Callithrix jacchus: one gene and its partners. The protein of the gene in region 7 interacts with the protein of the main gene of each other region in a biochemical or structural test. Links are inferred from orthologs where the notes say so. Each region holds a gene or a part of one and is shown on either strand. Other genes may lie near its edges. The genes, in order: CUL2, CDKN1B, WWP2, SKP2, PPARG, UBA1 and CDC34.

The links.
Region 1: the proteins of CDC34 (region 7) and CUL2 form a complex in vitro, tested with the Homo sapiens proteins (2 studies listed by BioGRID). The link is inferred for Callithrix jacchus from reciprocal best matches to the Homo sapiens genes CDC34 and CUL2.
Region 2: of the proteins of CDC34 (region 7) and CDKN1B, one has a biochemical effect on the other in vitro, tested with the Homo sapiens proteins (3 studies listed by BioGRID, with this or other methods). The link is inferred for Callithrix jacchus from reciprocal best matches to the Homo sapiens genes CDC34 and CDKN1B.
Region 3: the proteins of CDC34 (region 7) and WWP2 form a complex in vitro, tested with the Homo sapiens proteins (2 studies listed by BioGRID, with this or other methods). The link is inferred for Callithrix jacchus from reciprocal best matches to the Homo sapiens genes CDC34 and WWP2.
Region 4: the proteins of CDC34 (region 7) and SKP2 form a complex in vitro, tested with the Homo sapiens proteins (3 studies listed by BioGRID, with this or other methods). The link is inferred for Callithrix jacchus from reciprocal best matches to the Homo sapiens genes CDC34 and SKP2.
Region 5: the proteins of CDC34 (region 7) and PPARG form a complex in vitro, tested with the Homo sapiens proteins (2 studies listed by BioGRID). The link is inferred for Callithrix jacchus from reciprocal best matches to the Homo sapiens genes CDC34 and PPARG.
Region 6: of the proteins of CDC34 (region 7) and UBA1, one has a biochemical effect on the other in vitro, tested with the Homo sapiens proteins (7 studies listed by BioGRID, with this or other methods). The link is inferred for Callithrix jacchus from reciprocal best matches to the Homo sapiens genes CDC34 and UBA1.

What each region holds. Positions count from the first base shown.
Region 1 is NC_133508.1:34,722,559-34,726,858, forward strand, and holds the start of CUL2 (cullin-2), read right to left. Parts: upstream 2,801-4,300; 5' UTR 2,597-2,800; intron 2,503-2,596; exon of another isoform or gene 2,349-2,502; intron 2,172-2,348; exon of another isoform or gene 2,065-2,171; intron 1,927-2,064; 5' UTR 1,846-1,926; intron 1-1,845.
Region 2 is NC_133510.1:10,589,263-10,593,387, forward strand, and holds the start of CDKN1B (cyclin-dependent kinase inhibitor 1B), read right to left. Parts: upstream 2,801-4,125; 5' UTR 2,325-2,800; coding exon 1,850-2,324; intron 1,337-1,849; coding exon 1,215-1,336; 3' UTR 1,207-1,214; intron 1-1,206. UniProt on the Homo sapiens protein: Important regulator of cell cycle progression. Inhibits the kinase activity of CDK2 bound to cyclin A, but has little inhibitory activity on CDK2 bound to SPDYA. Involved in G1 arrest. Potent inhibitor of cyclin E- and cyclin A-CDK2 complexes.
Region 3 is NC_133521.1:27,516,110-27,519,609, reverse strand, and holds part of WWP2 (NEDD4-like E3 ubiquitin-protein ligase WWP2), read right to left. Parts: intron 2,549-3,500; coding exon 2,389-2,548; intron 649-2,388; coding exon 515-648; intron 189-514; coding exon 48-188; intron 1-47. UniProt on the Homo sapiens protein: E3 ubiquitin-protein ligase which accepts ubiquitin from an E2 ubiquitin-conjugating enzyme in the form of a thioester and then directly transfers the ubiquitin to targeted substrates.
Region 4 is NC_133503.1:169,488,150-169,492,077, reverse strand, and holds the start of SKP2 (S-phase kinase-associated protein 2), read left to right. Parts: upstream 1-1,128; 5' UTR 1,129-1,296; coding exon of another isoform or gene 1,297-1,304; 5' UTR 1,305-1,445; coding exon 1,446-1,609; intron 1,610-1,787; exon of another isoform or gene 1,788-1,815; coding exon 1,816-2,087; intron 2,088-3,928. UniProt on the Homo sapiens protein: Substrate recognition component of a SCF (SKP1-CUL1-F-box protein) E3 ubiquitin-protein ligase complex which mediates the ubiquitination and subsequent proteasomal degradation of target proteins involved in cell cycle progression, signal transduction and transcription.
Region 5 is NC_133516.1:69,544,525-69,548,024, reverse strand, and holds part of PPARG (peroxisome proliferator-activated receptor gamma), read right to left. Parts: intron 2,422-3,500; coding exon 2,194-2,421; intron 819-2,193; coding exon 649-818; intron 1-648. UniProt on the Homo sapiens protein: Nuclear receptor that binds peroxisome proliferators such as hypolipidemic drugs and fatty acids.
Region 6 is NC_133524.1:48,150,585-48,154,821, forward strand, and holds the start of UBA1 (ubiquitin-like modifier-activating enzyme 1), read left to right. Parts: upstream 1-1,437; 5' UTR 1,438-1,541; intron 1,542-2,041; exon of another isoform or gene 2,042-2,333; intron 2,334-4,237. UniProt on the Homo sapiens protein: Catalyzes the first step in ubiquitin conjugation to mark cellular proteins for degradation through the ubiquitin-proteasome system.
Region 7 is NC_133523.1:502,222-505,362, reverse strand, and holds part of CDC34 (ubiquitin-conjugating enzyme E2 R1), read right to left. Parts: intron 2,744-3,141; coding exon 2,657-2,743; intron 2,560-2,656; coding exon 2,462-2,559; intron 1,869-2,461; coding exon 1,734-1,868; intron 1-1,733. UniProt on the Homo sapiens protein: E2 ubiquitin-conjugating enzyme that accepts ubiquitin from an E1 ubiquitin-activating protein, and catalyzes its covalent attachment to other proteins by an E3 ubiquitin-protein ligase complex. In vitro catalyzes 'Lys-48'-linked polyubiquitination.

The DNA of each region.
Region 1 (4,300 bases), on a different chromosome or scaffold from region 7:
TCGTCTCAGTACACAGCATCATCATCCTCCAGCAGAAGCCAAAAACCCCTGTCCCAACTGCATGCTCATCCAAAACATGACAATTTCAGTAAGTATCTTCAACTCCAAAACACATCTCAAAACATTTTCACTGGTTTCCTTGTGTGTCTCTTTTCCAAATGGCAGTCTGATTCTCAATCAGACCTTACCACTCCCAGTTTAGAAGAGTTCCAAAAGCCTCTTAAAGCTTCAGAAGAACAAAAGCCAACATGATCCAGCCCCTGGCTAGGACCTACCCTTAATCTCTCTCTTTTTTTTTTATTTTAAAAAAGAGAGCAAAGTCTACTTTTGCAGTCTGAGTTAAGAGACCAGGGAAGAGCCCGAACACAGTCCACTTTAAGCCACTTTCAGTTCGTTGGATCCCAGCTTGATAGCACCTCAAGGCTTCTCCATTTGATCCTCCCTAAAATAGAAACTTTTCCCTCAGAATTTCAAACTTTACCTCGGGAAGGTCTTCTCAGATTATAGTATCTGAAGTAATCCCCCAGCCACTACCACAACTCCTTACCTCATTTCCTACACAGCACTTACTCTCTGAGATTATCTGTTTACTGTCTGTCTCTCCATCCCAAGCCAGAATTGATACTCCGAGAAGATAAATTTAATGTGAAATTTAATGTGTCTTGTTTACCCTTGTATCCTTAATGCCTGCAGTGCTCCTTGGCAAATAAACCAAGTGCTTAATATTTGTCAACTGACAGATATTTTTTTTGTAGACACGGGGTCTCACCCCCCGTGTCTACAAAAGGCAAAAATGACTTTAAAGAAGTTCCACAACATTTAATCTCCTGACAGACTGGTGAAGATAAAAGACATGGATAATCTTCACATTTATAGAACACTGAAAGCCACCAAAGAGGATGGAGAATAAAGAGTATTTCAGAGGCAGGAGAACAACCAAATACTCAAAAGGCAACTGAAAAGGAATTTTTCCCAGGCTATGTGAATGCACACTGTAGAAATGTTCCAACTCATAAACAGCAAATAAAATTTAAAAAAAAAAAACGGGTAATTCAAAACGCTATGGGCTGGATGCAGTGGCTCAGGCCTGTAATCCCAACATTTTGGGAGGCCAAAGCAGGTGGATCACCTGAGGTCAGGAGTTCGAGACCAGCCTGGCCAACATGGTGTAAACCCCATCTCCACTAAAAATACAAAATTAGCCAGGTGTGGTGGCACATGCCAGTAATCCCAGCTACTTGGAAGTCTGAGGCAGGAGAATTGCTTAAACCCGGGAGGCGAATCACACCACTGCACTCCAGCCTGGGTGACAAGAGCCAAACTCCATCTCAAAACCAAAAAAACTATGTACTTCTGTTATCTCACGTGACTCTTTTGGAAAGATCTTCCCAGATACTGCATACGGTCAAAAGAAAAAGAAGCAAAGTATAGCTAATCCTTTCGTGTGTCTGTCCTGAAAAGGAATGTAAGATTCTAAAGGGCAGACAACAGTATTTTGAATGTTTTTAAGTGATTATTATGTAGTCAGTTGTCAATCCGATCAAAGTAATTATTTCCCATCATTACTACGAAGATAGGCTTGGAACAAGTCTAGTTCAAAGACGTTTATGTGTTGAACAGTCACAATCTATATTGAATGTTAATAGTATGTATCTTCAAAATTTAAACGCCCAGAGTAACTGGCCTTCAACTAGTAATATTTTAATCCATGGGACAAAGGTGTGGGCTTAACATTAATAACAGCCTACAATTCACGAATGTTTTATTTGCATGCACATAACGGTAGGGAATGGTCCAGACTCCCTAGAGGGTAAGCAAGTGCTAGAAAGCGTGTGAGGATCTTACTTCAGCAGACCCTAAGTGTTGAGACAAGAGGTCTAACATGCACGTAGGATACTCCTCCCCAAAGCTATCAATCTTTGCAGTCTGCGGAAACAAAAGTGAAAATACTCGTGGTAAGGATGCATGAGATTGATAACCCCCCTCCCACACACACACACGCAAACACAGAGTTGTGTATTCGTGTGAGCACGCAAATATGCAGAAGAGTACACGCACTCTCACCTTCCCTCCTTCGGAGGAAAATGGGGCCGAGGGAGAGGCGGCCAAGATCGGGTTGGGGAGGCCTGGGATCCAGTCCAGGGGGGTGGCAGGGCTTAGGGGTCAGCGCTCTGGGGAGCCGAGGTCACTTACAGGACACCATCTTCCCGGGCCTCCCCCCTTCATCCCTCTCCCCCGACCTCGTCGCCCCTAACTCCTCTCCTCCGCCCCAGCCCCGCCACCCATTAACCGGGAAGGGAAGTTTCCCGGCGCCTGCTGCCCGGCTCCCCGACCCTCAGCGGGGTTACCTTCTGCAGAAGCGGGGCAAGGGGCAGGGGACAAGGGGAGGGGGAGGCAGCCCGAAGGAGTGAAGGACGAAGCCCCGGCGAGGAAGGTGGGCGGAGGCGGCGGCGGCGGCTGTCAGCTCGCGTTCCCCCGCTCACAGCGCAGCCATTACTGTGCGCCGAGGCCGCCTCCCCGGCCGGCCGCCGCCACCAACCCCGGAGACGCGGGGGGTGGGGAGCGAAGCCCGGGGAGCCCGCGCGCCGACACTCACCTGTCTCCGCGAGGAAACACAGCGAAGTCCAAGGCCGCCGCCGCTCCGCGGCGGGGCAGGGGCGGTAGGGAGGGGGGTAAAGGGGAGAAGGACGGGCCGATTACGGGATCTGTAAAACAATCGTCCTCCTCTGCACCCGGCTTTGCTCAACACACACCCTCCGGTCTCCTTCTTCCGCTGCTGCCAAATTCCCCCTCGGAAAGCAATGGTAGAGACCTCGTTACGGCAAGCGCAGGGAGCCAAGCTTCGTGCGATTGCAAAAGGCCACGGAAATTAATATTCCAGGGATGCCCTGCTGGGCTTGCTGTCAATGAGGCAATTGCGGTTCGCTGAGCGGTTGGACACAGTACCCACCCACTATCCATTAGTCCAGGGACTACTAATAACAATGTGGGAATGGTACTTTCATCAGAAGTATGTTTTCCTTGTTTCAGACCTATGTGAAGAGCCTAAGACAGCACAATCCTCTTGCCACACACTGCCATGGGCTTTGCAAATGATCAAAAATATATTAGCAAAACTACTTTTTCTCCCTGACAAACTCTTTTTCTAGTGGGTTTTTATCTACAGAGCAAGTCTTGGACATACATGTATTTTCAATAAAGAAACTTCACATCTTTGTCACTAATACCTCACCTTCACCAAGCCCCAAGCATATCAGCTTGAAGGATCTTCCTCCCTTGGAGTTTTTCTTCCTTCTTTCTTTTTTTTTTTTCCCCTCTAACATGGATCATAGGAAACAACCTCCCTTGGAGTTTTAAACAGTAAAGTTGACAAAAATGTAGAATTACTCATCACCTCCTCATATATGCAAGACCACAGAGGAACAGAAGCCCAGCTTTAGTGCTTTCTGCCTTTCATATCTTCAAGAGCTCACGATCAGGGTCTTGTTCATTTGTACCATTCAGCAAGCTTTTCCCTCCCACCCCTTCCTTCTAAACTGTGCCAACTCTTCAAGGCCTGTTTAAAACCCTGCCTCCTGGCCGGATCAATCCCTAGAGTCTTCCTCCTCTTCTAATCTGCTCTTCATGGTATATGAAGTCTATATTCTTTATTTCAGTAAAGAGTTTTTATATACTAAATTCAATTCAACAGTATGTTTCCATTATGTGACCTTTTTTCCTCCCACGTTTTCCCCCCTTTTAATCTGTGCCGTCCCCAGACCCCTGGAAATCCCTGAGGCCTTTACAGAGGTCACAAGGTTAACAACTAGTTTGTCAACAATGCAACATTTCTTGTCCTTTTGTTTCTTTTTTTTGGATACAGAGTCTTGCTCTGTCACCCGGGCTAGAGTGCAGAGGTGGCACGATCTCAGCTCACTGCAACCTCCATCTCCCAAGTTCAAGCCATTCTCCTGCTTCAGTCTCCTGAGTAGCTGGGATTACAGGTGCCTGCTACCATCTCTAGCTAATGTTTTGTATTTTTTAGAGACGAGGTTTCACCATGTCACCATGTTGTCCAGGCTGGTGGTCTTGAACTCCTGAGCTCAGGCAGATCACCCACCTCGGCGTCCCAAAGTGCTAAGATTACAGGTGTGAGCCACTGTGCCAGGCCCACCTCCCCCCCGCCTTTTGACACAGGGTATCCCTCTGTCCCTGAGGCTGTAGTACAGTGGCCCAATCATAGCTCACTGAGTGTCCCATCTCAGTTTCTCAAGAAGCTGGAACTACAGGCCTGGCTAACTTTTGTATTTTTGGTAGAGAG
Region 2 (4,125 bases), on a different chromosome or scaffold from region 7:
TTTTCTCACTTCATATGGTACTATGAAACAGGCTCTATAGTACCGTTCTGTATAAGCTCTGAAAAATACAAGGTATAGTGAAGTCGAATACACAATTTAAAGACACAACAAACCTGAATCCCACCTTAATCCCTGTTAAAATTTTTATAAATGAGGATTTAATAAGTTAACAATATTTATCAAGATCGCCTCATATGCTAAGCTATGTATGTGCTTTAAAAAAGAAAGAGGTCACAATCTTGGTCTATAAGACACTAAAAAACTTAATATGTATGTTAATTCGATAATTATGACTAGCTAATCCATGTACATTTGGGGGCTGAATTATTCAAATTAGCTATTAACGGTGATCAGATTGAGTACGGAAAAATCTCCACTTCCTTTGTGCTGGGTTGACCCACGGTCACCAGTCTTGATATTTACTACCCATTTCCCCTACAAATATCAAATCACCCTATTACAGCACAATTAGCATACACTGGCTGACCTGTTCACGGATTGCTTACTGACAGAGTTAATCTAACTTCTGCTTTGCAACTTGAGTGTTCCCAGAAATTGAGAAACTTTAGTAATTTTTTTATCTTTCCATTTTGCTTTTTGTAAATACTGATTCCTTCTCTCTACAAACTCTCTAGAACAGGGAAAGTGACCGTTTATGAAAATGTCAAAGACAGAACACAACATAACAACACCCTATTCACATCTCCAATCCCTTGCATCACCAAAGGTGAGCAATTTCTACCACATATTCCCCTCAAAATTTAAACTTAATTATGTATTTGCCATTTTTCCATGTATGGCTCAAAAATGTTACAGACTCAAACTGAACCTCTGGGAAATTAACTCTCATGAAGTGGGACTGAGGGAGTACCCCAATTCTTGTTCAGATGGGGAAAGAACTTATTGTTATATGTCTCAGTAGGACTCACAGAAAAATGCCCTTCCTACCCGACGGGGCCTTGGTTACAGTAGCTGCTCTGGTCTACTATTTCAAGAGAAAGTATCTTCGGGCAAAGAAACTTTGAAGAATTACAGTATCCCCACAGTGATTCCCAGCCTTCCCAATCGCTACTTTTTTGACCTCACGAAGTATAAACAAAACAAAACCCCACAGGCTTTTAATCTGCCAGCAAACAGTAAGATCAGGTGTCGTGGGTTCTGAAGGCCCTGGGTTTCAGTGCGTGCTCCTTTGCTGATCAAACCCACCGAACTGTTTACGTCTGACGTCTTCTGAGGCCAGGCTTCTTGGGCGTCTGCTCCACAGAACCGGCATTCGGGGAACCGTCTGAAACATTTTCTTCTGTTCTGTTGGCTCTTTTGTTTTGAGTAGAAGAATCTAAGAGTGGGGGAAATTTTTAAAAAGAACACACAATCTTTGTTAGAAAAAACAATGGATGCAGAAGTTGGCCCGATATTTAGGGGATGAAAAACCCACCACCTCCACCCACAATCCTGTATCCGTCATCCCAAATGGCCTTTAAGGGCACAAAATGAGGTTGTTTTCAAAAAACAGAAAGTGCATTCTCCGCCCCAGAGCGCTCTCGCTAGCCAGGAGGCGGACCATTGATAAACATCCCAACTTTGTCACATACCTAAGGCTGGCTAGTGGGAGGGACTGCGACGTCCTAAATTAGGGAAATTATCGGATCTTACCATCTCCAGTTTCTGACTTAAAAGTTACAAACAGACAAGCAGTGGGTCAGGTAGCACTGGAAACCTAAGACCAAAAAAGTTAGCCCTTCCAAAATTAAATCAGAATACGCCGGAAAACAAGCTGAGATTAACACCCTCCAGCAGGCAAAGCGGGCCCCCAGACACAAACAATCTACGGTTGGGAAGGGGCCATTACCGTCAGCTGCAGGTCGCTTCCTTATTCCTGCGCACTGCTCCGCTAACCCCGTCTGGCTGTCGGACGGATCAGTCTTTGGGTCTACCAAGTGCGTGTCCTCAGAGTTAGCCGGAGCCCCAATTAAAGGCGCCGCCGGGCGGCTCCCGCTGACATCCTGGCTCTCCTGAGCCGGCACCTTGCAGGCGCCTTTGGGGGGGCGCGGGGGTCTGTAGTAGAACTCGGGCAAGCTGCCCTTCTCCACCTCTTGCCACTCGTACTTGCCCTCCAGGGGCTTGTGATTCTGAAAATCGAAATTCCACTTGAGCTGGCTCGCCTCTTCCATGTCTCTGCAGTGCTTCTCCAAGTCCCGGGTTAACTCTTCGTGGTCCACCGGGCCGAAGAGGTTCCTGCAGGCCGAGGGCTTGGGGTGCTCCGCCTGCCTGGCGTCCATCCGCTCCAGGCTGGGGCTCCCGTTAGACATTCGCACGTTTGACATCTTCCCCCCGGGTCTGTACGGCCGCCTCTCTCGCACTCTCAAAAACACGAAACAAAACAAAACGCCCCTACGCAGCCCGAACCACACTCGGGAGCCCAGCGACTGCCCTCGGAGCCAAAAGACACGGACCCGGACGAGCCACGGCCCGAGCTACAGGAGCGCGCAGGGTCTGCGGGATGGGGCTGCGGAGAAGCCCCTGCCCAGCCGCCGAGTCTCCGCTGATCAAGTGGACTGGCGAGTGGGAGGGCGGGGAGGGGCGGGGAGGGGACCAGGCAAGCGGAGGGGGTGGCAAAGCCCGTCCGAGTCCGGGCGGTGCAAGCCCGCGGGTCCCGCGAACCCAGCCGCTCTCCAAACCTTGCCGGCGTCGGAGTCGCGGAGCCGTGAGCAAGCGGGGACAGGGGAGGGGGCGAAAAACACCCCGAAAAGACGAGCCCCCTTTTTTAGTGGCCCAATATGGCGGTGGAAGGGAGGCTGACGAAGAAGAAAATGATTGACACGGCTAGTCTATTTAAACAGAGGAGGAGATCCATTGGTTGCGGCGCCGGGAGCCGCCCCGCCGAGGCTGGCTAGCGCAGGCTTAAGGTGGCCCCGGCGCCGTTCCGCCTCCTCCCCGCGTTCCCGAGCGCGCCGCCTCCCCGAGCGCCGCCGGGACATTGGCTGGTCGCGTGACTGCTGGAGGTGTACTGCTGCCAACAAACCTGCTCTGGCTGGCCTCGGAGAAATTAAAATTAAGACAAACAAACTAGCCAAACGGCCGGGAAGCTGGGGCGGGGCCTGGGGTTCGGGGCCCGGCGCGGCGCCTAAGTCCCGACCTCCCGCTCCTTGCCCGGGAAGCCGGGGGCCTAGACCAGAGGACCTCGAAGGTCACCAGCAGCTCGCTTAGAGCCGAAGTGGCGAGCTGCCCCCAGCTCAACCTTCCCCAGTGGCCCCCACCTCGCGGCCTGTGGGGGAGGCCGTGGAGCGTTTGCTGGAGGGGCTGGGCACCGCCCCGGCCGGTTTGCCTTAGCTGGGGGTGGGTGGTAGTTCGCTCAGCCTTAATCCAGAAGTTTCTGCCATCCCTGGGGAGGTAGCAGGCCTAGGGAAGAAGCCAAGGCGAAGGTCTTTCTTTTAGAAATTAGCCAGGAGTAGACGCGGCACTTACCATAAACTCAAGCTCTCTCTCCATGAAAATTAAGAAAGGAACTCAAGATTTAAAAAAAAAAAAAACTCGAGTAGTCTCTCAAGTCCATTAATAAACGCTGTAGCTGTCCCAGACACATTCAGTTTTGAAAACCGAGGTTACACCCCTGGCCCAGGCTCTTGCTTCCCAAGCAGAGTTAAGGCCATGGACGTCGGCTGCGTGTGGGAACTGTCTCTCTCTACTTTTCAGTTCTTTCCCGGGATTGTAGCAGTTTCCTCTACCTGGGTCCAGCCGCCAAATACAACAGCTCCTTCCTTCCTCCACCCTTCTCTCTCACCAGATTTCACTGCTCCAACAAACTCAGAACAATATTCAGATGCTAGTGAATGCTTTCAGAGGGCTGAAGGGTGAAAATACTCCCCTCGGGGCCAAACTCCAGATGATGAAATGATTCTTAAAGCCACCAAACCATGTCCTAATGTCCGATATTCCAGCGTTTCTCTGCTCCCTTTTGCAGCTGGAAATTTCTCTCATTGTGGGCTTGAGCACCGTGGTGGAAGGTAAAGTAGGACGACGAGCAGGGCTGCCCTGAGACAAAGCTCAGTGGATCTTCAGCTGCTCTCCCCACCCCCATGCCCCGTACCCATCATCTCGGTTTGGGCCAAAGTTAATACATTTTGC
Region 3 (3,500 bases), on a different chromosome or scaffold from region 7:
ACCTGCTGGGACTCCTGGAGCAGAGTCCCCCGGCACCAGAGACTCACATGATGTACTCTTCCTTGTTCTCCTCCGTAACCCGGATGCTCTCGCCGCCCTCCTTCAGCTCGTGGGTCGTCACCTTGCCCAGGATCTCCATGTCCTGGATGAAGTACAGCTCCAGGCCACACTCTTCCAGGTTGTTCTCTCTGGGGGCACAGGAGACCAAGCGGGAAGATGTCTATAGTGGCGGGGTCTTTCCTGGGTCCTGCTTTGTTGCCTGTGGGACACCAAGGCCTCACAGGTGGCCTAGAATCCAGAAGAGTGACAAGCAACAGCTCCCTGACTCAAGGAGAGAATTCTAGAACTGTCCACAGAAGGCAATTCTCTCCACAAGCTCTTATAAAAGCTGCATGAGAGCTCAGGGGACACTCTGGCAGACAAAATCCAGGCCATCAGCACCTACTCCCCGCCCAGAGACATCCCTCCTATCAGTGCAGTGGGGTGTGGGGGGTGGTGGGGGCAGGGGGCTCACTTGATCCAGACAATGGAGTTGTAGAACTCGGGGTCGATGGACTCCAGGTCTTTCAGGGTTGGTCTCTTGTTGAGCATCCGCTTGTAGAAAGGGAGGGTAAAGCCCGTGTCAATGAACTTTCCGTGGTACAGCGCCTGGGAAGGAAGAGGCACAGCACAGAGCTTTGGCTTCCCTGGGCACCACCAGACCAGCTCTCAGATGCTCCATATCAAACCCCACCACAGCCACCTGCCTTCCTTCCCTGACAGAATCGCAGCAGCGGCTGCCTCAGGGGCACAGCAGGAGGGCCAGGGGAGTAAACGACACCTTTGTCCTAACTTGTACCTGCAGGTGGCCCCCAGCCTGCCCTGCAGAGCTCAGGGACTGGGCCGAGCTGGCCGGCGTGGGTACCCATGTCCAGGCCTGCATCTGCCCCATGCACTGGCCAGCTGGCCCCGGGCTAGCAAAGATCTGTCCCATGCTCACAGAAAAGGCTTGCTCCAAACAGCTCCAGGTGGCAGCAGCCCTGACTCACTGGTGCTCAGGGCGGGTGGCAATGACAGCCAAAAATAATGCAGACACCGCTGACGGCGAGAGCTGGCGGCCAATGGTGAGTAATAGTCTAGGGTTTTACCGGTCTGTCCTGTTGGCTGCTGGGCCAGGCGGGTCTCTAGACCTGGGAAAAATGTGCCCACTTCCACAGCCCAGCACCTTGGCCAAGAACTCCCAGGCGATGGGAAGGGCCATATTTAGTCATAGACTCCTGGGGAGCTTGGGTCCTCATAACAGGGAAGCAGGGCAGGACACTCAGGAAGGCAGGGGAAGAGGCGAAGGAAAGTGAGAATTGAAACATCTCAAGCTATGAATGTAGCTCCCAAGCTGTGGCTCCCACGGGCCCCGCTTCTCAATCCAGGTTCTCACACTCTCAAGACCCTCAACAGAGGGCACGTGGCAGAACCTCCCTTTCCATATTCACACCATGTCCCTCTTTCCAGTTAAACACAGATGCGATGCTGTGACGCCTCCCCAGAAATGGCCCACATTCCAACAGATGTCCCTACACCCTGCACCAGCCGGTCTGCCAGGGTTTCGTTCTAAGCTAGCATTGATTCCAAATGTCCTTCCAGAAGGCTTAGTGTCTCAGTGGGACATTCCCAAATGCCGGGACAGTGTCACCTCCCAGAGACAGGCAGCAGGTGGGCAGTTACGGTTTCACTCAGCCCTGTCATCCCAAGGCCCTCAACAGAGCACATATTTAATGTTCAGTAAAGTCTGTGGCCCCGAGACCCTGGCTTCCTCTTGACAAGTCCTATACAAAGCAACATGGAAACTTCACTACCTATATGGCAGCCACTGAGGAAAGCTCTGGTTTCTCCAGAGCTCTCGCTAGCTTTTTGCATTTTATTTTTAAAAGACAGAGTCTCGCTATGTTGCCCAGGCTGGAGTGCAGTGGCTATTCACAGGCACGATCCCACTACTGATCAGCATGGGAGTTTTGACCTGCTCCATTTCTGACCTGGGCCAGTTCACCCCTCCTCAGGCAACCTGGTGGTCCCCCGCTCCCGGGAGGTCATCATATTCATGCCGAACTTAGTGTGGACGCCCAATCAGCATAGGGCACTACAGCCCAGAATCCTGGGCTCAAGCGATCCTCCCACCTCAGCCTCCCGAGTAGCTGGGACTGCAGGCACGTGCCACGGCGCCTGGAGCTTTTTGCATTTTTACTTTACGAGTTCTATGGGGGTGAAGGGTGGGGATCAGAGAGGGCACACCAGTCCACAGGGGCTGCTATTCATGCCACGTTGCCTCCTGGTGAACAGGCCCAGGGCCTCCTCCAATGCTGCCCCTTCCTGGAGGTCTCAGAGGAAGAGGAGATTCCCCTGTGGCCCCCTTACCATGGCGATGAATCTGCCGATAAAGCGGAAGTAGGTGAGGTGGTCCGGGTTGATGGAGGAGGCGGGGTTGATCTGCAGGCAGTAATTGTTCTTCCCCGCGTATTCAAATAAACAATACATAGGGTTGAGCACCTCGTGAGACAGGAGGAAAAACCACTCTCTGTGAGGGAAGAGAAAGAAAAGACAAGAATAACGGGTCCCTTAGTGCACATCTGCACAGGAGCTGTGACTCTCCTCCATTGTGTCTCAGGTAGTCTGCGGACACGTGTTCCAAGGAGTCCAGTCCCGTGACAAGTGCCCGGGCTAACCTATATGAAAAGCTGATCAGTGAACAGGGCAGGCTGAGACCTAGAGTGAACCAGGGTGGGGTGGCAAGTGCATTTGAGGATGAGGTTCAGGAAAACGTGTGCCTGTTGGCTCCCAAGTGATGTGTTCCTGTTCCTAGACTTTACATCACAACATCCAGAGCGTCTAATGCTAAAGGGGGTCCTTGTACCCTGGGTCACCATGCTCAGCTGCATAGGCTGTGTACTGCACAAGGACACGATGCATGTTTATTACAATGATCTTTCTGCAAAGGTTCTGTTTGAATAGCAACGACCCTGCTTCCACTCTACCTGGACGGGCAACATAACATAAATACACAGCACCACATTCCCAATCCTGATCCATGAAAATGTCATCCGTACTGTCTTCCGATTAGAAACCTCACCCCCACCAACTATGCCACAGGCATCTCACTTCTCTTACACTTTGCCCTCCCTTCACCTCCAGACCCCCCACACCATACCCGTGCCCACACTTCCACGCATTCATCTGAACCAACACCCAGTCCCTGGTTTCGAGCCTCAAGCATGAATTCAGAGTCCTTTTGGGCTTGAGCTAAACCAGCCAGGGGACGTCCCAAGGGGGCCAGTCCCCGGCGGCTGGGCTGTTTGTGGCTGGGCAGACGAGGAGTCCTTCGATGCAGAGGGTGTCCCGGTATCCTGTCCGTGGTTCTACCCTGTGGTAGAACAGCATGACGTAACCTACCATAGGGTAAAACCACTGGCAGGACACAGAGAGAGACACACACAGGGCGCGGCCACACCAGAAGCCCACCAAGCAGAGCC
Region 4 (3,928 bases), on a different chromosome or scaffold from region 7:
CGCATGGTCATTGTACCTAGAATATGTCACCCTCCCTACTTTAACCACCTCCAAAATCTTCTCAGCAGATAGGCTGAAAACAGCTCGCTTTTAGGCGGCGACGCAAACACACGTAGCCCGTTGAGCGTCAGCGAGCAACCAAAAGTCTTTGCTGGAGGACCCCTGCGTTGCATGGGTAAAGCCCGTTGCAAAATACAGTCCTTTCATTTATTCCCATGCTACTATTTATGAGAGCTGTCAAGGCTGCAAGGGCATGCGCAGCCTTCCCACCACCCAGGACCCGCTGGGGTCTTCGGCTCCCCTAAAATTAAACCACTGTTTTTCGTTCCAACTGCGTTTTTAGGCCGGGCGCTGTGGCTCACGCCAGTAATCCCAGCACTTTGGGAGGCCGAGATGGGTGGATCACCTAAGGTCAGGAGTTCAAGACCAACTGCGTTTTTAGCTATTGTGCGTATTTTACAGATAAAGGAAGGATCCTGTCCACAGACCCAATGCTAAGGGCCGCCTTCTCCCCGAAGGAGGAAGCAGCTTCCTGGCAAAGGGACAAACAGGTGTGACGCCCGCGGTTCGCAGCCTCTCACCTGGCTGGCGAGCTGGGCTACAGCCACCACTCAGCGGCCAGGGACGTGGGCCCCGCGGCGGGCGGCGGCGGCCACTCGGGGTCTCCCGGGTCTCCTCTTTTGCCGCCTGCTCTCGGCCCCGGTCCCCAGACACCAAAGCGTCTCACGCGTTCCCTCTCAGGCTCACCGTCCGATCTCGCCAGACAACGTCTGGATGGGACCATGAAACGGCGGCCGCCACAGCTGTCCAGGTTCTGGGATCCACACTCAGAGACGACAGCGCTGGCGATCACCAGAAGGCCTGCAGGCTCCCGGGAAAGGAATATCCGTCTGCAGTCAAGTGGCTGACATTTCCCAGTCAGTCTTAGCGCCGCCCGCTTCCGCCTCCCCGCCTACCCCGTGGACCAGCCAGTCCCGCTCCCGCGGGGGGTTGTGGGTATCTCGAAGGCGGGCAAAACTGCCAGGGAAGGAAGTAAGGGCGAGCCAGTCGGACTACGAAACAGGACGGAAACTACAATTCCCAGGAGGCCGTAGGGCCGCAGTGCCCCGCGAAGCAGAGCGGGCTTGCAGAGTCTTGCGCGCGCTGCTGGGATGGAACGTTGCTAGACTTAGCGGGTCTAGCTGCTGGGGGCCCGAGCACCACGCTCGGAGCCGCCGCGCGCCAAAGCGGGAATCCGGGAGGCGGGAGGCTCTGCAATTAATGCACGTATTTTAAACTCCCGAACCTGAGGACGCTATGCACAGGTAAACAGATTGCAAAAAGTGGAAGAGCATGAATGGACCCTCTTAATAATTCTTTTAGGCCGCGAATATCGCTACTGGCTAATATTGTTAGTAATGCTGTTAAGTGAATGGTTGCTTAGCCCCTTCTTGGGAAAAGTGTGAATGGTTGGATGCTTTAGTGCGGGGATCAGCGTGCGGTTTTATTTGGCTTCCTTAATTGGGCTTTTCTGCCACCGTTTTCAATCAGTGTATGATTGCCCTCTCTCTCTCTCTTTCCTTGTCTGTTCCCTCCACTGGGAGAAATTCTTGAGGCCTTCTGCAGGATCGTAAGTCAAAAAGCCTTTTCGATTTGTTCTTTGAATTTCTTTTTTTTTTTTTCTTGAAAACTCGCCGCGAGCATGTAAAAAAGGCGATTCTGTTAGCCACTGTGAAGGTTCTCTACAATGCATAAATTCCAGCTTCTTTAATGCCTCACTTGGGATTATTTATGGGTGTTTTCGAAAGGAACCGGGGGTATTGTGCACTTCTGCAGGAAGCACCTCCAGGAGATTCCAGACCTGAGTAGCAACGTTGCCACTAGCTTCACGTGGGGATGGGATTCCAGCAAGACTTCTGAACTGCTCTCAGGCATGGGGGTCTCCGCCCTGGAGAAAGAGGAGCCCGACAGTGAGAACATCCCCCAGGAACTGCTCTCAAACCTGGGCATCCCGCAGAGCCCCCCAAGGAAACGGCTGAAGAGCAAAGGGAGTGACAAAGACTTTGTGATTATCCGCAGGCCTAAGCTAAATCGAGAGAACTTTCCAGGTAAGGCTATGAGGGTAAAAAATGTCAGTTACGCAAAGGGTGGATTTAGCTATGCTGTTGGGAAACCTTTGTTCAGGGATCTTTACCATGGGTTCCTTTTAAGATTGCCTAATTCCGAAGTTATTTTTTCAACAAAATGGGGGAAGTCGTCAAATATGCAGGAATCTTGGTGGGTATATATGTTCTGGTGCACAATCACCTTGAAAATTTTAACCCGTGAGAAGACACTCCTGCCTTTATCCTTAGAAGGGAATCTGCCTGCCCAAAGGCCAGCTCGGTGCCACTGATGAATAGAAACATAAACAGTGGTCTTCTTGTAGGATTCCTTTTGCTTTGTACCCCTGAGTGAGCTTTTTGTCTTAATCACTTTAGGTATTTATCAGTGGATTGCTAAAGTGAATGTTTACCTAAGTGGAGGAGATTTATCTCCCCAGGTTCGCTCCCACTCCCATATTGGCTTCTCCTGTGTGTTCTGTCTCCATTACTGCTGATACTATCTTGTTTAATTACCCAACCCAAAAACCTGGAGTCAGTAAGATTCCCACCTTCCCACAATATCCAGTCGTTCATCACATCTTGTCCTCTTCTCTGGTAACTATTTCTCAAGTTCTCATCATCTCTTGCCTGAACTATTGGAGTAGATTTATAATTTCAACCTTTTCTCCCCAGATCTATCCCACAGAACCAGAATGGATTGACTGAAATGTAGAACTCGCCATATCTTCCCTCCTTAATAGCTCCCCATCCCCTAGTTTCTCAAGCAGGTGAACGGGTGCCTCCCAGAGTGAACCAGAACCCTGGAGTATGCAAAAGCCATAGGGTAAACATAGGGCATTGACCTGGGGTTATCAGTTTTTCTTGCTAGTAAGACGTTTAAAACAGTAATACAGCAAATATTTGCTGAGCACATACCATGTGCTAGGCAGTGTTCCAGGTGCTGGAAATACAGGAGTGAATACAACATAAACATTTCTGCTCTCAGGGAGCATCCATTCTAGTGAGAGAATACAATAAACACAATAAATATGTTGAGGTAGTATGTTAGAAGGTGATAAGTGCTATGGCTAAAAACACAAATAGAACAAGCCAAGAGGGATTGCAGGTCCTTGGGTGGGAAGATAGAGTGCACTTTTAAACCAGGTATTGAGGGAAAGCCTCAATTAGACAGTGAGCTTTAAGCAAAGATGTAAAGGAGGCCAGGGAGTGTGCCATGCAAATATTTTGAAGAAAAGAGCTCCATGCAGAAGGAACAGCCATTGCAAAGACCCTGGTGCATAAATGTGACATGCTTGTTCCAGGAACAGGGAGGCCGTATTCTAAGAGTGGAAGGAGCAAAGGGGAGAGTCGGGGAGATCAGGCTGGAGGTAATGTTGAGCAGAGTTGTGATGGGACCCAGTTTAACCTTTGAAAAAGGACACACTGATGTGTTGAGACTCAATTGCAGTTGTGCCAAGGGTAGAAACTTGGAGCTTTTTAAAATTTTATATTTTCAAGACGGAGTCTTGCTCTGTCGCCGAGGCTGGCGTGCAGTGGCATGATTTCAGCTTTTGGCTCACTGTCTTCACCTCCTGGATTCAAGTGATTCTCCTGCCTCAGCTTCCCATGTAACTAAGACTACAGGCATGCACCACCACACCCAGCTAATTTTTATTTTTTATAGAGATGGGGTCTCACCATCTTGCCCAGGCTGGTCTCAAACTCCTGGACTCGGGCAATCCTCCAGCCTTGGCCTCCCAAAATGCTAGGCTTACAGGCATGAGCCACCACACCTGGCCAAAGCTTGGAGTCTTGTTGGGGGTGAAGGTGGTCAGATTCCAGATATATTCTGATGTTAAAGTCAA
Region 5 (3,500 bases), on a different chromosome or scaffold from region 7:
CACCTAAGGAGTCAGAGTCTAGACTGAGGGCTGCCGTTGACTAAGGGATGGCCTTGGCAAGTCTTACAAACTCATAATTTCTACATCTGTAATGTGGCCATAAAGAAGCCCAACCTTATAGGATTGCTCTAGGGATCCAAAGATATGTATATACAAATAATCTGTAAAATCTTGTGTATACACAATATTACATGGCACAGCAAAAAAATAAACAAACAACTAGGGAATGCAGGAAATCTGCATCCTGGTGCCAAATCATCACTGTCTTCCCACGACACCTTGGAGAAGTCACTCTTTGTAAAAATCTGCAAGATGCAAGGGTTAAATTAAATCAGTGTCTCAAAGAATCAATTTGGAGAAAGGAATGTGGGGTAAAGCAGCCCTGCTTTTATCCACTTTCTTAGGCTCTCAAATATTACATCATCCTTTGGGAGGCTGAGGTGGGAGGATCACTTTAGCCCTGGAGCTCAATGCTGCAGTGTGCTCTGATTGTACCACTGTACTCCAGTCTGGGTGACAGAACAAGACACTTTTCTAAGAAGAAAAAATTCATATTTTTTATCACCTAAAGAAAGGGTTCTGCTCAAATGAAATAATAAGGTTTCAACGATTTCTTTGAAGAAAGATTTTTTTTTTTTTTTTAATTACCTTGCATCCTTCACAAGCATGAACTCCGTAGTGGAACCCAGAAGCTTTATCTCCACAGACACGACATTCGATTGCCATGAGGGAGTTGGAAGCCTCTTCATGAGGCTTACTGTAGAGCTGAGTCTTCTCAGAATAATAAGGTGGAGATGCGGGCTCCACTTTGATTGCACCTGTGTATAGAAACGTGAGAGGATAATTATCCCATGAAAACAGTCCTAAAAAGGCAAAAGGGCAAGCCACCATAGTACACCTTCATGCTGTATTTGTATTGTTTCAGTATAAAAGCACAATGGGACATGAAAAAAACACTAGAGTTAAGGCAAGAAAAAGAAGGCTGTGTAATCACAGTCAAGTTACAACATCGCTAAGCCTCACCTGTAAATTTAAAATGGGAACGGGAATTAAGTCTGTGGTTCTATGACCCCCAGTACCCTGCAATACTACAGCTTTAACAGACAACAGAGAGGCTTTGAGACAAGGAAGCTTATTTTGCTAGCAAATGTTCTGTCTTCGGTATTCATCACAATATTAAATTATACATTTTATTTAAATATTAAATTTTAGAAGTACTTTGGAACAGTGCTTGCAAAAGAACCACAAAAGGAACACTGCTGTGAATGCCTAGCTTCAAGGTGCAAGAAAAATAAGAGCCCAGGTTACCATCAGTGTTCAGTCAAAAGACGTGGTTTGTGAAATAATCTTTGACAGAGGGTGGGGGAACTTAATGGAAGTCCGGCCTACCTTTTACTAGTTAGGCCCATGGCTATTAAATTTCCATATTAGGCTCTAACTAAAAACCACACAGATAAATATAACTAAGCATATTATTTATCTTAAAAACCACCAGAAATACAGGAAGTTCTTACTTATTGTCAAGTAATGGTTGCCAGTTACATAGTGGTGGCTCTGGAAAACCAGCATGTCAGCCCACACATGATAAAAATCAAAGAAACAGCATCACAGAAATACATTTTATCTCAAAAAGTGCAGCTCTTGTTTTTCTTGCATCTGATGTTTTGATGTTAATTTAGTTAATGGCATGAAAATTTATCAATAGACTACAATGTTAAGACAAATTTGTGCTCAAAAGTAGGTTTCAGTATAAAATTCTGAAAGGACAAATTAGAAAAAAATGTACTGTAGTAGCAGTAATTTAGTGAAGATAAGTTATATAATAAATATCAGGTGACCTGGAACTGTTACTTATTAACTTACAAAGGCCAAAAGAATTCAAAGCGTGGATGATGGACTCTTAGCCAGAGATACAAATGGCAGTGTAATCAAGGTAGAAAATGTCCCTAAGAAGGAAGTAAGCAAGACAGGAAAGAAGAGAGGAAGGATAGAGTGGGGGAAAGGCAAGATTGGTCTGGCGCCAGCTTCCTTTCTGGCATTTCATAGATACCTAATGTTTGATGGATAAATGGGTGAATAAATCAATGATGAATGCCTTCTCTATTAGTGTTCTAGTCTCTGGAGTATTACAGGGTTACTGAGAGATTAGTCCAATTCCAGTCTTAGGAGTCTGAAAAATGAAAATAAACATACTTTGGTACTCTTGAAGTTTCAGGTCATACTTATAATCTGCAACCATCGGATCTGTTCTTGTGAATGGAATGTCTTCATAGTGTGGAGTAGAAATGCTGGAGAAGTCAACAGTAGTGAAGGGCTTGATGTCAAAGGAGTGGGAGTGGTCGTCCATTACGGAGAGATCCACGGAGCTGATCCCAAAGTTGGTGGGCCAGAATGGCATCTCTGTGTCAACCATGGTAATTTCTGAAAGGAAAAATAGACCAGCCATGAAGTTAAGTCCTGGAGAACAGAGCAATGTCACAGAGTTCCAGAAAGGGAAATGAAAGAGTCTTTGGCGAAGTAATCTCTTCTAGGCTCTTAAAACGAGAAAAGAACATAACCATCTTCTCAGTGCTGCTCAGGCTGTTTTATGATAGGAAGGAAGTCATCCTTTACCTATCAGAGTAGAGAATCCTGAAACAGTGCAGACACATATAGTATATTCATATAAGTGTCTTGCTAACAGTTCTGCTCTCATTATCTTCTACAGAAGGTCATCAATTGAGTCTGTTAATGACTGCTGTTATTTAAAATTTTTTCCAGCTTTATTTAAGTATAATAGACAAAAATTTTTAAACTTAAGGCACACAGGCCAGGCACGGTGGCCCACCTGTAATCCCAGCACTTTAGGAGGCCAAGGAAGGAGTATCACCTGAGGTCAGGAGTTTGAAACCAGGCTGGCCAACATGGCGAAACCTTGTCTTTACTAAAAATAGAAAAATTGGCTGGGTGTGGTAGCATGTGCCTATAATCTCAGCCACTTGGGAGGCTGAGGCAGGAGAATGGCTTGAACCCAGGAGGTGGAGGTTGCAGTGAGCCAACATCACACCACTGCACTCCAGCCCAGGCAACTGAGCAAGACTCCATTCAAAAACAAAACAAAACAAAAAAACAAGGTATACAATGTGATGTTTTAATGTATGTATTTACTGTGAAATGATTACCATCATCAAGCTAATGACCATACTCATCACTTCACATACCTTTTAAAGTATGAATATGTGTAGTGAGAACACTTAAGATCTACTGTCTTAGCAAATTTCAGATATACCATACGGCATCACTAACTATAGTCACCATGCTGAAGGTGACCTACACTTAGGTCTCCAGAACTCATGCTGCGTAACTGAAACTCTGGCTGACATCTCCCTATGCAATCACTCTCAAGCCCCTGGCAACCACCATTTTACTCTCTACTTGCATGAGTTTGACGTTTTTAGATTCCATGCCTAAGTGAGATCATGTGGTATTTGTCTTTCTGTGTCAAGTACCACCCAGTTTAC
Region 6 (4,237 bases), on a different chromosome or scaffold from region 7:
GCTTCGGCGACAGAGCGAGACTCCATCTCAAAAAATAAATAAATAAATAAATAAATAAAAGTCATATCCTGCCGGGCACGGTGGCTCACGCCTGTAATCCCAACACTTTGGGAGGCTGAGGCAGACGGATCACTTGAGGTCAGGAGTTCGAGACCAGCCTGGCCAACATGGTGAAACCCTGTCTCTACTAAAAATATAAAAATTAGCTGGGCGTGGTGCCTGTAATCCTAGCTACTCAGGAGGGTGAGGCAGGAGAATCGCTTGAACCTGGGAGGCAGAGGTTGCAGTAAACTGAGATCGTGCCACTGTAGTCCAGCCTGGGCGACAGAGTGAGACTCTGTCTCAAAGAAAACAAAACAAAACAAAACCAATAACCTCGGTGAAGCCTAGAAGGAAGGGCCACTCTCATACATCGCTGGAGGCAGTGCAAAATAGTATAACCGTCTCTTCCACCCTCCCTCTCCCTCTCCTTTGTCTATTTTCCTGCCTCCGCAGGGCTCACTGTGGGAACACAAATGCACCCCACTACGCCCAGCTAATTCTTTGATTTCTTATAGAGACCAGGTGGTGGGGGGTGGGGTGTCTCACTCTGTTGCCCAGGCTGGTCTTAAACTCCTGTGCTCTAGCAATCATCCCACCTCGGCCTGCCAAAGTGATGGGATTACAGACATGAGCCACTGCACCCAGCCAAGACTCCATTTATTAAAAGGCTAAAGAATTTTGCTGGGCGAGGTGGCTCATGCCTGTAATCCCATCACTTTGGGAGGCCAAGTGGGCGGTATCGTCTGAGCTCAGGAGTTCGTGGCGAAAACCCGTCTCTACTACGATAACATATGTAAACATAGAAAAGATAACAGTAAAAATTTGTCTGTTACAGGACCATTGACCGAAACGTTATCCAGCACATAATTTATATTACTGTGTATAGTCACAGATATCTATTCTAATACGGATTTGCATGTGAAACTATAATCTTACTTATTGTTATGTTTATGGTCTGTGTCTCTTGCTGGAATGTCAGCTCCATGAGGTCAAGGAAGAATTTCCAGCACCTGGCCCATGTCAAATGAACATTTTTGGCCACCTGAGGCTCAGTCTCCCCATCTGTAGGATGGGTGTGCCATATGGAGGCACCCACACGTTCCGCCTTCTTTTCCCACACCACAGAGCACGGCTCCCGGAATTCCACAGCCCAGGCTTGCATTTTCCCATATTCTGGGCGCTGGTGCCCACCACGTGCACCCGGCACTGGCCAGACAGAACTACCACCCCCAGCATGCCGCGCGCATTTGGGCCGTACTACAATCTGTAGGGGCATCTGGGTCTGAAACGGGCACCAGCAACACGGGAGCAGGGACTGACGCCCCTTTAGCAAAGCATCTGTGGTACATCCCAGACCCGGGGCTCTCCGAGGCCCCGCGCTTCCGAGCTCGGCGCAAACTCTGGCTTCTCTTGTACGACGGAGGTGGTTTGCTCTTCCGTTGCCCCGTGGCTTCAGCTCATCTTCGGCAGGAAGGCGAGGCTTCCGCCCGGCGCAGGTGGTAAGCTGGAGCACTGTGCCCCCAAGTGTCTGGACAGCATTTGGAGGAGGGTGCTTCCCTAATTCCAACTTCGGGGATCCCCTAATGGGCGTATTTGGAGCCTCTGGGCCTGGTGTGATATTTAGGGGGCGTCTGCTTTTGAGGAGACCCTTAGGGGGTGCCCTTTGGGGACTCCGGGGTGGGATTTGGGAGTCTGTTTGGGAGAGCACCCCTCGGAGGCAGGGTTTGCAGGGCTTTGGGGAGATTCTCAGGGTCCGTGTATGGGCACCCTTGTCTATGGAGCAGGATTTGGGTTATTCTTCAAGGGGAGAAGTAAAGTTTGAGGTTACTAAAGTCAAGGCGGGACCGGAGGAGGGCTTATTTCAGGACGGGGTGCTGGTGACAGTGCGAACAATCGGGACCGACGTGGCATTGTGGAGGTGTCAGGCCTTTGTGACCTCTGGTTCTGTGATGAGGTCCTCCCGTCGTTTGAGACTCAGGACTGCCAGGCTGGACACGTCGGGGGCCCACAAGTTTCTAAGGGAGAGGGGCCTCCCAGCTCAGGCTGGGGAAGGGACGCCGGAGCCCCGCTCTTCCTGGGCGGACGCGGCGCCACCCGGCCTCTGTTGGTGGCGGCTTTATTCATTATTCATAAGGAGGTGGGGCTGTGGTGGGAGGCCGTTTTTTGCCTCTTACACACCTAGTCCGCTAAAGGTAATTGTTTGTGAGTTATTCACGAGGGGCGGATCAGCGTGCTGAAGGGGCGTTCTGAAGTCTGCCGCGCAAACTAGAGTTCATTGATAATTCGCAAAAGTAAGTAGCGCCTTGAATTTTCTGTGATTTTTCTAGGGGCTCAGTGCTTAATTCACGCGGAGCATGGCTTTTGCAGCTTCATCTTCATGATCTGTGGTTAGCCTTCCCTTACAGGTACCAGGGTTAAAACTTGGCGTCTATCGAAGGGATGAGGCCTCCTACGTTCGTTTCTTATAGTCCGGTAGTCCTAGATAATCAACCGAGGCTCTGGATTCAAATCCCATCGATCGTTTCCAGTTGTGTGATCTTTGGCAAATAGTTCTGTGAGCCTGAATAATGGGTATGAAGATAATGATGAGATAGCTTACACTCATTTAGCCACTTAGCACATTTCATCTTCACGACAGTCCTAGGAGGTAGGTTATTATTACCCCACTTTATAGATAAGGAAACTGGGACACAGAAAGGCTAAGTAGTTTGCCTAAGATCACACAATTAGTGAATGGGTGGGCCTGGATTCAAACCGGGGTGTAGTTCCACAATCTGTAGTTTTAACCAGATGCCATCATGTCTCCCCACCCTACCCCCGCCGCCATTTAATAGTACTACTACTAATATAACATTTAGTATGTGCCAAGCACTGGTCTAAACCCTTTGTACATATTTCTTCATTTAAATTCCATCAGTAGGTAAGTTGCTGTTGTTATTCCTATTTTATGGATGGGGAAACAGTGGCCCAAGTTGGGGGTTTCTCTAGTGGTTTGGTATGCCTTCACTCACAACTAATTTTATATTAATGTAAATATATATTTACATATCTCAACATATTACCTTTATATTAATATATAATATTAAAACAATTTTAACAGTGCCTTGTGCCAGCACTGTTCTAAGGCTCATCCCGTAATTCATATTCTCTGATTTTCTTTTTTTGAGATGGAGTTTCACTCTTGTTGCCCAGGCTGGAGTGCAATGGCATCTCGTCTCACTGCAACCTCTGCCTCCTGGGTTCAAGCGATTCTCCTGTCTCAGCCTCCGGAGTAGCTGAGATTGTAATCTCAGCTGTAGGTGCCCACTACCAAGCCCAGCTAATTTTTGTATTTTTAGTAGAGACGGGGTTTCGCCATGTTGGCCAGGCTGGTCTCGAACTTTTGACCTCAGGTGATCCACCTGCCTCAGCCTCCCAAAGTGCTGGGATTACAGGCGTGATCTGATTTTCATAATAACGCATCTTTGGGAGGTGGATGGGCTCTATTACTGTCCTCATTTTACAGTTGTGGAAACTGAGGCACCTGCCAAATACATGTAGTGAGTTAAGGTTTGATTGGACCAAGACAGCCCTGGTTCCTAAGGGGGAGAATCGGGGGAGGCATGTGGAGGGGAGGCGGGGGCAGGGAGTACATTCCCCCTGGGTTTCTTGGTGGCGCTGCAGCGTTATCTTTCGTTATTTTATTTATTTATTTATTTATTTATTTTTGGGACGGAGTTTTGCTCTTGTTACCCAGGCTGGAGTGCAATGGCGCGATCTTGGCTCACCGCAACCTCCGCCTCCTGGGTTCAGGCAATTCTCCTGCCTCAGCCTCCTGAGTAGCTGGGATTACAGGCACACGCCACCATGCCCAGCTAATTTTTTTGTATTTTTAATAGAGACGGGGTTTCACCACGTTGACCAGGATGGTCTCGATCTCTTGACCTCGTGATCCACACTCTTGACCTCGTGATCCACCTGCCTCAGCCTCCCAAAGTGCTGGGATTATAGGCGTGAGCCACCGCGCCCGGCCTCTCTTTCATTATTCATGAACAGGAAGGCGTGGTCACTGCATTGGCTACAGCATCATAATCCCTATTTGCTGGGCAGGGCATTCTTGAGTGTTTCTTTGCCTTATGCACAATTCATAATTGGGTGGGACCTTTCTTGACCTCTCTGAGTTTCTAGGTTGAGCTACTGCAGCAGCATAATTCAT
Region 7 (3,141 bases):
GCCAGGTGCAGTGGCAGGTGCCTGTAGTCCCAGCTACTCAGCTGAGGCAGGAAAATCTTTTGAACCTGGAGTGAGGGAGGCTGCAGTGAGCCAAGAATGCACCCCTGCACTCCAGCCTGGCAACAGCGTGAGACTCCATCTCAAAACAAACAAACAAACAGAAAACCAAAAATACAAAAATTTAGTTGGACATGGTGGCGGGCACCGGTAGTCCCAGCTACTCGGGAGGCTGAGGCAAGGGAGCTGCTTGAATCTGGGAGGGGGGGTTGCGGTGAGCCGAGATCGTGCCACTGCACTCCAGCCTGGGAGACAGGGCAAGACTCCGTCTCGAAAAACAAACAAACAAAAAACACTGAGGCTTCCACGAGCAAATCCCTGTGACCTCACTCAGAGAAAAGGAAACGGACTCAGAGAAAAGGAAACGGACTCAGAGAAAAGGAAACGGACTCAGAGAAAAGGAAACGGACTCAGAGAAAATGAAACGGACTCAGAGAAAAGGAAACGGACTCAGAGAAAAGGAAACGGACTCAGAGAAAAGGAAACGGACTCAGAGAAAAGGAAACGGACTCAGAGAAAAGGAAGCGCCTCGACGTAACAGGAAGATCAGGAAGCTTGACTGTACAGACACGCACATGTTCACACATCCACATCAACAGACACCCAAGAGAAGGGGCTGTGGGGCTCAGCTCTGGGCGTGACGGGGACAGCACACGGAGAGCTACCAGCTGCCACACAGGGGAGGCGGACCGCAGGTAGGGAAGGCACTGGTAGGCTGCACAGCTGCAGCCAGAGCTTGCCAGGCCAAGCGCCTGCAGGGACACACTCCCCACATGAGTAACAGCAACACTGCTGACTAACAGTCACCAGGGCGCACACAGCACGGCCCCTGTTCTTCATTAAAGCAGAGACATAAGTAAACTGACAAGCCTGAAAGAATCTACAGAAACATCAATCACTAGGCCGGGTGTGGTGGCTCACGCCTGTAATCCCAGCACTTTGGGAGGGTGAGATAGACAGATCGTCTGAAGTCAGGAGTTCGAGACCAGCCTGGCCAACGTGGTGAAATCCCAACTCTATTAAAAATTACAAAAAGCAGCCGGGCATGGTGGTGGGCATCTGTAAACCCAGCTACCCAGGAGGATGAGGCAGGAGAATAGCTGGAACCTGGGAAGCTGAGGCCGCACTGAGCCAGGGCACTCCAGCCTGGGTGACAGAGCCAGACCCCATCTCAGGGAGAAAAAAAAAGGGGGCCAGGCACAGTGGCTCACGCCTGTAATCCTAGCACCATGGAGACCGAGATCCTGAGGTCAGGAGATCGAGACCATCCTAGCTAATAGGGTGAAACCCTGACTCTACTAAAAATACAAAGAAATCAGCCAGACATGGCCTGTAGTCGCAGTTTGTAGTCCCAACTACTCAGGCGGCAGAGGCAGGAGAGTTGTTTGAACCTGGGAGGTGAACACTGCAGGGAAACGAGATCATACCACTGCACTCTAGCCTGGGCCAGAATGTGAGACTCTGCCTCAAAAACAGGAGGAAAAGAGGAAAAGGGGCAAGACGCTGGGCCCGGCCTCCACCTGTGACCGCTGCCCTGTGAAGGAGCAACAGGAAGCTCCTCCGCCCTCACCAGGACAGTGGGGCTGGGCAGCTGCAGGCCTGCCCACCGTGCAGGTGTAGAGAGGCCCAGGATTGCCAGCTGGAGTCTCTCCTCCCGCCCACCCCCCTGCCCTCACCGGATGATGTCCGTGTACTCCCGATCCTTCCCCTTGCTCTCTTTCCACTTCCTGTACATCACGGAGGCGTCCACGTTGGCGGGCGAGAAAGTGTTGGGCTCGTTGAGGAGGGAGATGACACTCAGGAGAATGGTCCTGTGGGGAGAGCGGCTGGAGTGGACCTGCCCGGGGAACCCTGGACCCGCCCAGCAGGTGACCTTCATCTGCCCTCACAGCATCTGCTTGTGTCTCGGGCCCCCAGAACAGCAGGGGCTAGAACTGCACCAGCCTCCTGCCTCCCATGCCGGGACCAGGGAGGGCAGCAGGGCAGACCCCGTCCGTCAGACCTGGGGCTGCCCTCATGCCCGTACATCCAGCCTGGGCTGTACTCCAGGACACGCCGGCAACAAGGCCCAGTGCCTGTACCTGGGGATGAGGCCCGGGGGGCACACATGGCATGAGGCGACCAATCCAGAGATGGCTGGGGAAGGAGAAGACCCCAGGACTGGGGCAGGAGGGGCACCTCTAGGTCGTTCCAGACCGTGGGGCTGGCCTGGGGTGGTGGGAGTCCACACAGACACCATAGCGCTGCAAGCCCTGTGAAACCGCCCACCATGCAGGTGTAGGGAGGCCCAGGATTGCCAGCTGGCAGGTCCCGAACCAAGCCTCGGCGCCACAGACTGGGAGGGAGCCCGGGCTACCTGATGTCCTCGTTGGACATGGCGGGGGGGGGCGGTCAGGTAGCCTACCTGACATTCTGGGTGGGGTTCCACCTCTCCGAAGGCAGCTCCCCACTCTGGGGGTCATCCACTGGGGGGTGGAGGATGGAGATGCACACATCCCCCGTCTGCACAGGGAGAGGACAGGTCAGAGGTCAGCACTGGCTCCCAGTGCCCCCCGGTCCCAGACGATGAGGACGTGAGGCCCATGGGGGCTGCACTCACCTCATAGATATTAGGGTGCCACATCTTGGTCAGGAACCGAAAGGCCGGTGGAGAGTACGGGTAGTCAATGGGGAACTTGAGGCGTGCCTGCATGGGCAGAAAGCCTGTGGCTTGGCTCAGCTAGCCCTGGCCCCAGGCCCTGCCCCAGCTAACAGGGAACCTGAAGCCATCCCACTCCCAGTGCTGGTGCTCCCAGGATAAGGCCCAGGCCGTGTGCCTGAGGCACGGTTTGTATGAGGGACACTCCATCCGGGCCAAGGCAGGGACTCTCAGGTGCGTGGGGTCAAGTCCCCAGCAGGCGGCCTCAAGCCTTCTGAGTCACCTGAGCTGATCACAGCTCCTACAAGTCCAGATGGCCAGGGCCCGACTCTGCACAGCTGCTGGGGAACGTGGGCATGAGCAGCCCAGGTCAGGCACATGGGACCCGGGCGGGGACACCCACTAGCAGTCAGAACGGACTGGCAGGGACTCCAGGCTCCTCTCGG